Linked DNA regions of Arabidopsis thaliana. The protein of the gene in region 2 interacts with the protein of the main gene of each other region in a pairwise test. Each region holds a gene or a part of one and is shown on either strand. Other genes may lie near its edges.

Evidence for each region.
Region 1: the proteins of ASA1 (region 2) and JAZ12 interact in binary tests that used the Arabidopsis thaliana proteins (3 or more experiments, as listed by UniProt).

What each region holds. Positions count from the first base shown.
Region 1 is NC_003076.8:7,088,819-7,093,262, reverse strand, and holds JAZ12 (jasmonate-zim-domain protein 12), read right to left. Parts: upstream 2,560-4,444; 5' UTR 2,381-2,559; coding exon 2,256-2,380; intron 1,866-2,255; coding exon 1,763-1,865; intron 1,689-1,762; coding exon 1,508-1,688; intron 1,417-1,507; coding exon 1,359-1,416; intron 1,349-1,358; exon of another isoform or gene 1,159-1,348; coding exon 1,062-1,158; 3' UTR 724-1,061; downstream 1-723. Other genes in the region: AIP2 (RING/U-box superfamily protein), read left to right, coding at 157-369, 451-600; AT5G20890 (TCP-1/cpn60 chaperonin family protein), read left to right, coding at 3,357-3,362, 3,447-3,503, 3,600-3,665, 3,755-3,866, 3,968-4,096, 4,195-4,266, 4,438-4,444. UniProt on the Arabidopsis thaliana protein: Repressor of jasmonate responses.
Region 2 is NC_003076.8:1,719,050-1,725,075, reverse strand, and holds ASA1 (anthranilate synthase alpha subunit 1), read left to right. Parts: upstream 1-2,165; 5' UTR 2,166-2,264; coding exon 2,265-2,454; intron 2,455-2,663; coding exon 2,664-2,848; intron 2,849-2,940; coding exon 2,941-3,136; intron 3,137-3,648; coding exon 3,649-3,800; intron 3,801-3,919; coding exon 3,920-4,035; intron 4,036-4,129; coding exon 4,130-4,520; intron 4,521-4,598; coding exon 4,599-4,832; intron 4,833-4,909; coding exon of another isoform or gene 4,910-4,925; coding exon 4,926-5,336; 3' UTR 5,337-5,501; downstream 5,502-6,026. Other genes in the region: EGY2 (ethylene-dependent gravitropism-deficient and yellow-green-like 2), read left to right, coding at 1-109, 204-411, 507-667, 799-1,053; AT5G05735 (uncharacterized protein), read right to left, coding at 4,910-5,110; AT5G05720 (RNA-binding (RRM/RBD/RNP motifs) family protein), read right to left, coding at 5,535-5,716, 5,823-6,026. UniProt on the Arabidopsis thaliana protein: Part of a heterotetrameric complex that catalyzes the two-step biosynthesis of anthranilate, an intermediate in the biosynthesis of L-tryptophan.

The DNA.
Region 1 (4,444 bases), 5.4 Mb from region 2:
CTACTCATATGTTGTTTTTTGCATATTGAGTTTCTCCACTTGGTTGTCTCACTCATCTGTATCAAGAGTGTTTAACCTCAACCTCTAATATTGTATTGGTAGCGTCTTTTTCTTAGCTTCATGATTGAAAAGTGATATATGATGTGTTCTATGCAGATACTAGATGATGGTGGACCACCAAGAGCTCCACCGGCAAGTAAAGAAGTTGTAGAGAAACTCCCAGTCATTATTTTCACCGAGGAATTGCTTAAAAAGTTTGGAGCAGAGGCAGAATGTTGCATCTGCAAGGAGAATCTAGTTATTGGCGACAAGATGCAGGAATTGCCATGCAAGCACACATTTCACCCTCCTTGCCTAAAGCCTTGGCTGGTATAAAAAAAAAAATCCCATTCTTTCAAGCTTACTAGTAAGTAAGAACATAAAGCTTATGCTCATATTGTTTTATGGCAGGACGAGCATAACTCTTGCCCTATATGCCGCCATGAATTACCAACAGACGATCAGAAATACGAAAACTGGAAAGAGAGAGAGAAAGAGGCCGAAGAAGAGAGGAAGGGCGCAGAGAATGCTGTCCGCGGAGGTGAATATATGTACGTTTAAATTTCAATCAGTTATGGCACACTCCCATTGTCTTTCCTTGAAACATCTCCGAATTGTTGTTCATCATTCACAATTATAAATCCCATTTTACATATAGATTCAATGTCTTTTGTATGAAAGCTTATAATAACAACACAGACTTCTTTACTTTACACACAATTGTATCTTGAAGAGATGACAAGTTCAATAACATAACATCAAAGAGTCATTAGTTAGATAGACTCTAGGACAGTGTTACTAACTACAATAGTTTCTTCAGTAGAATTGTAAAATGGCAAACATATCTGACCACTCCCAGACATGGAAACAATCTTCGGTTTGTCTAGCAAACCTATACAGACACTATCATACAACACATTACACACAGCAGCGTACATGATAGATTATCATATTAATTACTATATTGACAAAACGTTTTACTTAGTTTGCTTATAAGCTTAATGTGGAGGTTTGATCTTCTGCTAAGCAGTTGGAAATTCCTCCTTGATAGAGACATTGCCTGTTGGGACATCTGTCTTTTTGAAGTCTGAAGTAGGGTAAGGGTTTTTGTTGACCAATCTGCAGATAAAAAAAAGTGAATGTTATTGTTAGATGCAATATCAAGGTTAAACATTATGATCAATCTGTCTTTACAAGTCTCTCACAGGTACATTAACAAGCTCTGTATTAGTAATCAATCAAAAACTGAATAAAATAGATCAGATTTGAATTTCCATTGAAATGGAGAAGGATGAAGTGTAATTTTAAAGGCTGCATACCTGTCCCGTCTTTTCTCGAGGAATCGTTGAAGCGAATGCCTCCTTGCAATAGGTAGATCTGTTACGGCAAACATAATTGTAAGAAACTAATGAGAGTATCCATTTTCAAGGTTTGAAGATTACTATAACCAGTTGAATCGAATACTTACCAGCCGTGGATCTGCAAAACGAGATTGGCTGAATAGGAAATGGCTGTGCAGCTGGTGATGCCACATTAGATGTGCTTGAGAAAGAAGGAGCTCTGTTCAGTGCTGGCGATGAGACAGGACTGATGCTTGTAGAATTCTTTGTCTCCATTGCTTTAGCAGCAATACGAAGGATTTCTTGAACCTATAGGCATAGATCACAGTGAGAACAGAAATTCTGAAGTTTTTCTGACAACAACAAAGCTCTAATGGACCAACCTTTTCTGATGGAAGTCCATCAAACACAGTAACACTTCCACCAAAGAAAATAGTAAGTTGATTTGGAGGAACCGTTGGCTCAGCGGTTTGAATCTCCGTGGACCTTCAATAGCAGAAGATCTATTAAACTTGTGACCGACACTATAAAGATGGACTTATTGATGCAACATTAAGAAAACTCTCCACATATGAATCCAGTCTCTCCAATTTCACATGTTAACGGTGAAGTTCTATTAATCAAATTCACATGAAAACTTATGTATGCATTAAAGGACTTTGAAAAACACAAGTTTGTTAAGAATCCAATTGTTCCAGCCAAAAAACAAATTGGTTCCATTGAGAAATATGACTTTCCCTAAATAGAAACTAAAGTAACCAGATCGAAATGCTGATCTTCCTTATCAGAAACAAGATACAATTTTAAGTACTAAACTCAAAGCAAAGAGAGAAACAGATAAAAACATGTGAAATCAACAGTAAACACAGCTCATACCTAACTTCGTTAATCGATTTCTCAACAGATCCGGTACCGCCGATCTCAGCCGCGCCGCCGTCACCGTCGGCAACACCACATCCACCTTCAACGGAAGCGCGTGGCTCATCTTTCACCTTAGTCATGGCTTGTCTCTCAAAATTTGTAGATCTGTCTTTTTCCGATGAGAATTTTGATACTTCTCTCCCTTAGAGTACTTTTGTTTCGCTTCGTCTCTACGTCGTTCAGACCGGGAACCTCCGAGATTTATCCTTCTCAGAAGCTCCTGTAATTTGACACCTGGCGATAGATATTGATTTTTATTGTTTGACTTTTGGTGCTACGACAGTAAAAGACAACAAGAGGGTAATTAGAAACGTGCTCGAATATGATACGGTGTCGTTGGCCTTCTATGTGGGACATGCTTTCTCATTTCGGTTATCCGGAACTCCAAACGTGTATAATTTATAAGTGGCTGAGACGTTAAACTAATTGAGTTTGCTGGACCTTGATTCATTGGGCTCTTAAAGTACTGTTGGGCTTAGTCGTCTTAAAATGACTTCTAAAATGGACCTTGACTGCTTACATTTATAATGTTTCTCTTTCTATTTTATAAGCCTCTTTACATTTATAGTTTTTTTTAGTAACAATATTCGCATACAAATCACGAATTAATTTATTTCTGTTTTTGTATTCGACCGCTAAATCATCACCAAATTCAAATTTGTATATGGAACATTTTTTTTTTTCCTCTATATAATCAAACAAAATGCAAAATTGTCGAAACTATAAAATTTACTTCTTAATGTAACTTATAACTTTTTGGTTAAGGGTTAATCTAAACTTTTTAGTTTTTACTGAAGGGCGCATAAGAAATCTGGGAAATACGAGGGTAGTTTGGTCTTTACGAGTTTCATTTAGGGTTCCGAAAGATCTGGGTTTTGGCTCTCTCCTCTCATTTTCTACTCTTCTTCAAAAGCACACTCAATATTTCGAGATCCTCTCGGCTTGTTCGTTCTTCGTGAACGATCCCATCTATTGTTTCTCGCTAGTCTCAGATTCGACTAACTTGGATATCTCCGATACTGAAGAAGCCTCCTTCTTCTTTTTCCGCTCTTCCCGATGCCGGTAATGTTCCTCCGTCGTCTCTTTCAATCCTTTTGCTTTTCCCCAGTGCTCTCCGTTAACTGAACTTAGCTATTTCGTATTTAGATCGATAAGATCTTCAAAGATGATGCTAGTGAAGAGAAGGGAGAACGTGCGAGGATGGTGAGTCTTTTGAATCGATTAGGATTTAGGGTTTTTCAGATTCACTCTTCTACTGTTTAAATCTGATTTTCTTTTCTTTTGTTGTTGCTCTTTTAGGCATCATTTGTTGGTGCAATGGCTATCAGTGATCTGGTTAAGTCTACTTTAGGGCCAAAGGGCATGGTAATTTCCGATCTCTGAATATTTAGAAAGCTACAAACTTTCAATTTGGTTCTATTGATTATTGTTGAATCCTTTTTATTATTGTTTAGGATAAAATCTTGCAATCTACTGGTAGAGGTCATGCGGTCACTGTTACTAACGATGGTGCTACTATTCTCAAGTCACTTCACATAGACAACCCTGCAGCTAAAGTTCTTGTTGGTATGTAATTTCCCTGCGACATTCTGGCATGAAGTTTTCACATTCGTTTTTTCTTAGTTGGGTTTTCTCTCACAGTTCGTTGTATCTGGTTTGTTCTTCAGACATCTCGAAAGTTCAAGATGATGAGGTTGGTGATGGAACTACCTCTGTTGTTGTCTTGGCCGGCGAGCTTCTGAGGGAAGCAGAAAAGCTTGTGGCTTCTAAGATTCACCCTATGACCATCATAGCAGGTACACTTTTGGAGCTTTAAGTGTTAAGATGTCAACTTTGTATCAGCTTCTCTCACTATGGCAATGATTTCTAATTTTTTCGTTTTCTGGTTTCTTAGGTTACAGAATGGCTTCGGAATGTGCTCGTAATGCTTTACTGAAAAGAGTCATTGATAACAAGGACAATGCAGGTAATCATTATAGAGATGGTTAAACCTTGTTATGCTGACATATTTAAGTATAGCATTTTCTTGTTTGTGTGATTACTTCGACTGTTGGGTTCAAGCGGTGATTTCCTTTCAGTTGAATACAGAACGGAAATCACACTGTTATTTTACAGCATTGTATTTTTGTCAATGCAGAGAAGTT
Region 2 (6,026 bases):
AGCTCTTGTCACCGCTCTTGTCCTTGGAGTACATGAACTGGGACACATTTTAGTTGCAAATAGCTTAGGAATAAAGCTTGGTGTTCCATTCTTTGTTCCAAGTTGGCAGGTGAAGATGCGATGTTCTATTTGAAAGAAAAGGAAAAACTTTCAGCTGAAATTTGGTTTTTTTAGACATTTAATGAACATGTTTTAGATGGCAGATAGGCTCTTTCGGTGCTATAACGAGAATCAAAAATATCGTAGCCAAGCGAGAAGATCTTTTGAAGGTTGCAGCTGCAGGACCTTTGGCTGGCTTTTCTCTAGGCTTGATTCTGTTTCTTATAGGGTTATTCGTGCCTCCCAGTGACGGCATTGGCGTTGTAGTTGATGCATCAGTGTTTCACGAGTCCTTCCTTGCTGGTGGTATTGGTAAGCTTTAGCTCTCAATCAAATATGATAAAGTGTTGCAGGCTGAAGCTGGAGAGTTGATCAATGTTTAAATTTTGTTTCTTTTTCTCTTATAGCAAAGCTCCTACTAGGTGATGCACTCAAAGAAGGAACTTCAATATCTCTTAACCCACTTGTGATCTGGGCATGGGCTGGACTTCTCATCAATGGCATTAACAGTATCCCTGCGGGGGAGCTCGATGGGGGCAAAATAGCTTTCTCCATTTGGGGAAGAAAGGTAACACTAATTAGAATGACTTAAAAAGCTTAACAATGTCTTATACTATTCGTCTTTGTGTTCGAGTCCATTCCCCATAGTAGATTGATTAGGTAGTAATCAGAATTATATATGTCTCCTAATGATTTCAGACCGCAACACGGCTCACGGGTGCATCCATAGCGCTTTTGGGCTTATCGGCGTTGTTCAGCGACGTGGCATTCTACTGGGTGGTTCTGATATTCTTCCTGCAGCGTGGACCGATTGCGCCGCTGGCTGAAGAAATCACGGTGCCTGATGATAAGTATGTGTCTCTTGGAATCCTGGTTTTGTTTCTCTCCTTGCTTGTGTGTTTGCCTTACCCATTTGCTTTCACGGGCAATGAAGCCATGATGATTGGCTTGTGAAGTGACTCATATCATTACACCGCACAATAAGAAATCAGAGATATAGTTGTAACTTTTTGTTTTGGTCTCTATGCTCTACTTTGACATCTAAAGTTATGTTTTTGTTCTTGCTCTATATTTTTACTCTCATGGAGCAGTTTAGGAAACAAACCAAATTTCTCACAGAAATGTGAACTAATATTTTGCTAATCAGTTATTAATTACGTGTGGGATTGTCAATCTAGGTTTTGAAAAAGAGACTTTCACTGGTTGGAAAAACAGAAAAGACCAACTTTGTTTATGGGGTAGTGATAATCATATTGTTAACAACTTTGTATATATATATATATATATCAGACGAATTAATAGAAATTTAAACTACATTATAGACATGCGAGAGTATGTGACAAATTTGATGCTATAACGACGTTAAATTCTCTATTCAAGAAAAACAATTCAAAACTTTAATAACATAAAGAAATGACTAGGAAGGATTAATATTAGTATAATAGAAGGAAAGAATAATATTATGAAATTGGAAGGTAAAAGATAAGAAGAAAAGCACATGCTTTTAATGTGGATGGATTTGATTTTGGTTGGTAGCAACTAAAGGCTAAAGCAACCTTCCAATTTACATAGTCCTACTATGATCGTTGTTTATTCAAGAAAATGTCAAAGTTTCTACATTCGTACTATTATATAATTGACTGAAGAAATTAAATACTAATCTGGTAAAAGAAGTAGTATTGTTAACATTCCGCTATCAGGCATGTTACCAACTTTTCTATGTTTTTATTTTTGTTGGAAAAAAATGAAAAACGCATACTTGAGGATTGTCTTGTAATGGCATTAATAAAGAAAGACTTTTCGAACACTAAAGTAAGAAGATAAGGGTTTTTGACTTTTGAGAAAGACGACCGTTCGTATCGTTTGCTTATGAAACTGATGCAATATCTTTGTGAATGACAAGTTTGCTTAGTTTTTCCGAAAAGGGTTCGCTGCCTTCATGGTTCATGCACATGACTTATAGTGAAAAAATGAGGGAAATTGGAAAATACAGGTAAGGGGTATTAAAGTAAATTGCTAAATAAGTCACATGGTCATCTTCTTTATAAATATGCCACATCTCGTAGAATAATCACTAATCAAATTTACTCATTTAGCCGTCACCTCTGAATCTTCTTCTCCGATCTTCAAACATTCCGGCCGCCACCGAGTTCTTAGCCGTTACAATGTCTTCCTCTATGAACGTAGCGACGATGCAAGCACTGACTTTCTCTCGCCGGCTTCTCCCTTCTGTTGCTTCTCGTTATCTCTCTTCTTCTTCTGTGACCGTTACTGGATACTCCGGTAGAAGCTCGGCTTACGCGCCTTCTTTCCGTTCGATTAAATGCGTCTCTGTTTCTCCGGAAGCTTCAATAGGTGAAGCAATGCTCTTCGTTTTTTCTTTTAATTTGGGTTTTTGATTGTTTGATTTTTTACCGATAAAATGCGGGAAAATGGTTGAACGACATTTATGTCAAGCTTATAATTTCTATTCTCTGACTAATTTGATTGGTTTGATTGTGAATGTGAATCTTCTTAAGCGTGAAAACAGTTCTGATACATGTTTTTGGACTTGTTCTCTGCAGTAAGTGATACAAAGAAGTTGGCAGATGCTTCTAAGAGTACAAACCTTATACCAATTTACCGCTGTATATTCTCTGATCAGCTTACTCCTGTTCTTGCTTACCGTTGTTTGGTCAAAGAAGATGACCGTGAAGCTCCTAGCTTTCTTTTCGAGTCCGTTGAGCCTGGTTCTCAGATGTCTAGCGTTGTAAGTATATAATCTTTCTTTGTACATATCCTTTTTATCTGTTAATATGTCTCAGTTCCTAATTGTTTCTTTGATGTGATTGGTCTCGATAGGGTCGTTATAGCGTTGTTGGGGCTCAGCCTGCGATGGAGATCGTGGCAAAGGAGAATAAAGTTATTGTAATGGATCACAACAATGAAACCATGACTGAGGAATTCGTCGAAGATCCAATGGAGATCCCAAGAAAAATCTCTGAGAAATGGAACCCTGATCCTCAACTAGTTCAGGACCTTCCAGATGCGTTTTGTGGTAAGAGATTCTTCTTTATTGTTTATAATGAGTCACTTTCTAGAATAGTTAACTTAAAAGGAATGAAGCCACTAGTTTTAAGGACTGGGGATATGTGATAATGGTATGGATGTCTTCGAGACAAGCTCTTGCTTTTGAGTGATCTTTTTAAATGTCAAGTTTCATGGATTTCTATCTCAAAACCATTTAGCAATTAATGCACGTAACCCGTGTTCACTACATACCATATCATATGGGGTCATGGGATTCCTAGTTGTAAACATGTACGTCTGATTTCCCAAGAGGCAAGAGCAATTGATAAAGTAGAGAACTTTCTTATGCTGGTCATTCTGTCCCTGTTGTGATCTAGTTTTCCCTCTACCTTTTGTGCCCAATTCGCCTTTACGTTCTTGAATATCTTTTCTCGCGCTTTTAGATAGAAGATTGATTGCCCTTAGTGTTTTAGTTTACTTTTTGTGCTTTATCTTGTTCATGAAGTGGTATCTCTTAGTAAGATTTCTTTATTATGATAGGTGGGTGGGTTGGTTTTTTCTCGTACGACACTGTTCGTTATGTTGAGAAGAGGAAATTGCCATTTTCAAAGGCCCCTGAGGATGATAGGAACTTGCCAGACATGCATCTTGGTCTGTACGACGATGTAGTTGTATTTGATCACGTGGAAAAGGTAATCATTTTGTCACCATCCATGTTTTATGATTAACTGAGACATGCATCTTAGTTTCCTTTTTATGCGTTATCTTGTTCTTGAAGTGGTGACTAGAGATTCCTTGTAAAATTTTACAGAAAGCATATGTCATTCACTGGATTAGACTAGATGGGAGCCTTCCTTACGAAAAGGCATACAGTAATGGAATGCAACATTTGGAGAACTTGGTGGCCAAGTTACATGATATTGAGCCGTGAGTATCTCTTTGAATTGATTAAGTTTTTCAGCTCCGTTTGGCTACTATTCTTAAAAGTTGTTCATTTTTCTTCCGCTGTGAATCTATGCAGGCCAAAACTGGCTGCAGGTAACGTGAATCTTCAGACACGACAATTTGGGCCATCTTTGGATAATTCAAACGTGACATGCGAAGAGTACAAGGAGGCTGTGGTCAAGGCCAAAGAACATATACTTGCAGGAGACATATTTCAGATCGTGCTGAGTCAACGTTTTGAGCGGCGAACATTTGCAGACCCCTTTGAAGTTTATAGAGCACTAAGAGTTGTGAATCCAAGTCCGTATATGGGTTATTTGCAGGTTGGTGATGGAGAGAACATTTCTCAACAACTTTGCATTTTGTACTTGTGGATAAACCATCAATGCTGTTTTCGTTCTGTTATTCAGGCTAGAGGATGCATTTTGGTAGCATCAAGTCCAGAAATTCTCACCAAAGTAAAGCAGGTAAATCTCTCTTTTCTCAAAGCTGCATTAATCTTTATATCATTTTTGAAGCTAACCTTTATATCATATTTGAAGCAGAACAAGATAGTGAATCGGCCATTGGCAGGAACCAGCAAGAGAGGGAAGAATGAAGTTGAGGATAAGAGATTAGAAAAGGAACTGCTAGAGAATGAAAAGCAATGTGCTGAGCACATCATGTTGGTTGATCTCGGTCGCAACGATGTTGGAAAGGTTACGAAATACGGATCAGTGAAAGTAGAGAAGCTTATGAACATCGAACGTTATTCCCATGTTATGCATATAAGCTCCACGGTAATTGTTAATTAGATAACTAGTAGTAGATCAAATATCTAAAGTCTCGCATAGTGTGTTCCTTAATATCTTAAGTTCTAATTCTGTGTGTAGGTGACAGGAGAATTACAAGATGGTTTGACTTGCTGGGACGTACTACGTGCGGCTTTACCAGTGGGAACAGTTAGTGGTGCACCAAAGGTCAAAGCTATGGAACTAATCGATGAGCTAGAGCCAACGAGGCGTGGACCATACAGTGGCGGTTTTGGTGGAGTCTCCTTCACTGGTGACATGGACATTGCTTTATCCCTTAGGACAATCGTTTTTCCGACAGCATGTCAATACAATACAATGTACTCTTACAAGGATGCTAACAAACGGCGTGAGTGGGTGGCTTATCTTCAAGCTGGAGCTGGTGTAGTAGCTGATAGTGACCCGCAAGACGAACACTGTGAGTGCCAGAACAAAGCCGCTGGTCTTGCTCGAGCCATCGACTTGGCTGAATCTGCATTTGTGAAAAAATGATTGTGCCCAAGAACAGAGGCTGGCTTTCTTTGAACTCCGAGTTCATGTGTATAAAACAGTTACAAGCAGAACAAAGTTTTTTCTTTTTCTTGATTTTGTGAGAATTGCAATTAGACTCCATTAATGAAGCTCTGAAAAATGTTACAATAGAAACCATGGTCAATAATATTCAGCTATTCTCCCAAACTTGATTCTTCTTTAACCAACAACTGTCGAGCTTTTCCTTTTCTTTGGATTATTGTTTTCTTGATCCACATACTTGGCAGCAGAACGATATCGGATCGCCTTCATGCTATTGTCAACCTTTTTCCACTCGATCACCTGCAAAGACGGCAAATAGCGAGTTGAGGATGCATTCAAGGATGTCAAAGATGAACAGGCTAGAGAGATGAGTACACAAGATAAGTCCATAGAAATGGGTGTTGGATAATGCCTTTTTAGCGTTTAAAGCTTCTTGCTTTGTCTCAAATTCAATAAAACCATAACCAGCATATCTTCCCTTAGTCCTCTCTGGAAGCCCAACGCTCTTGATCTGTCCAAATGGAGTGAAAAGCTGTCTTACTTCTTTCATAGTTGCTTCAAAAGCTATATTTTTCACATGTAACTTTGTCAAAATTGTGTCCTTGTCTAAATCTTTCCCAACCGTTCCACTCGGCTTGTTTTTAGAGAAGCTCAAGATCAAAGCATGCC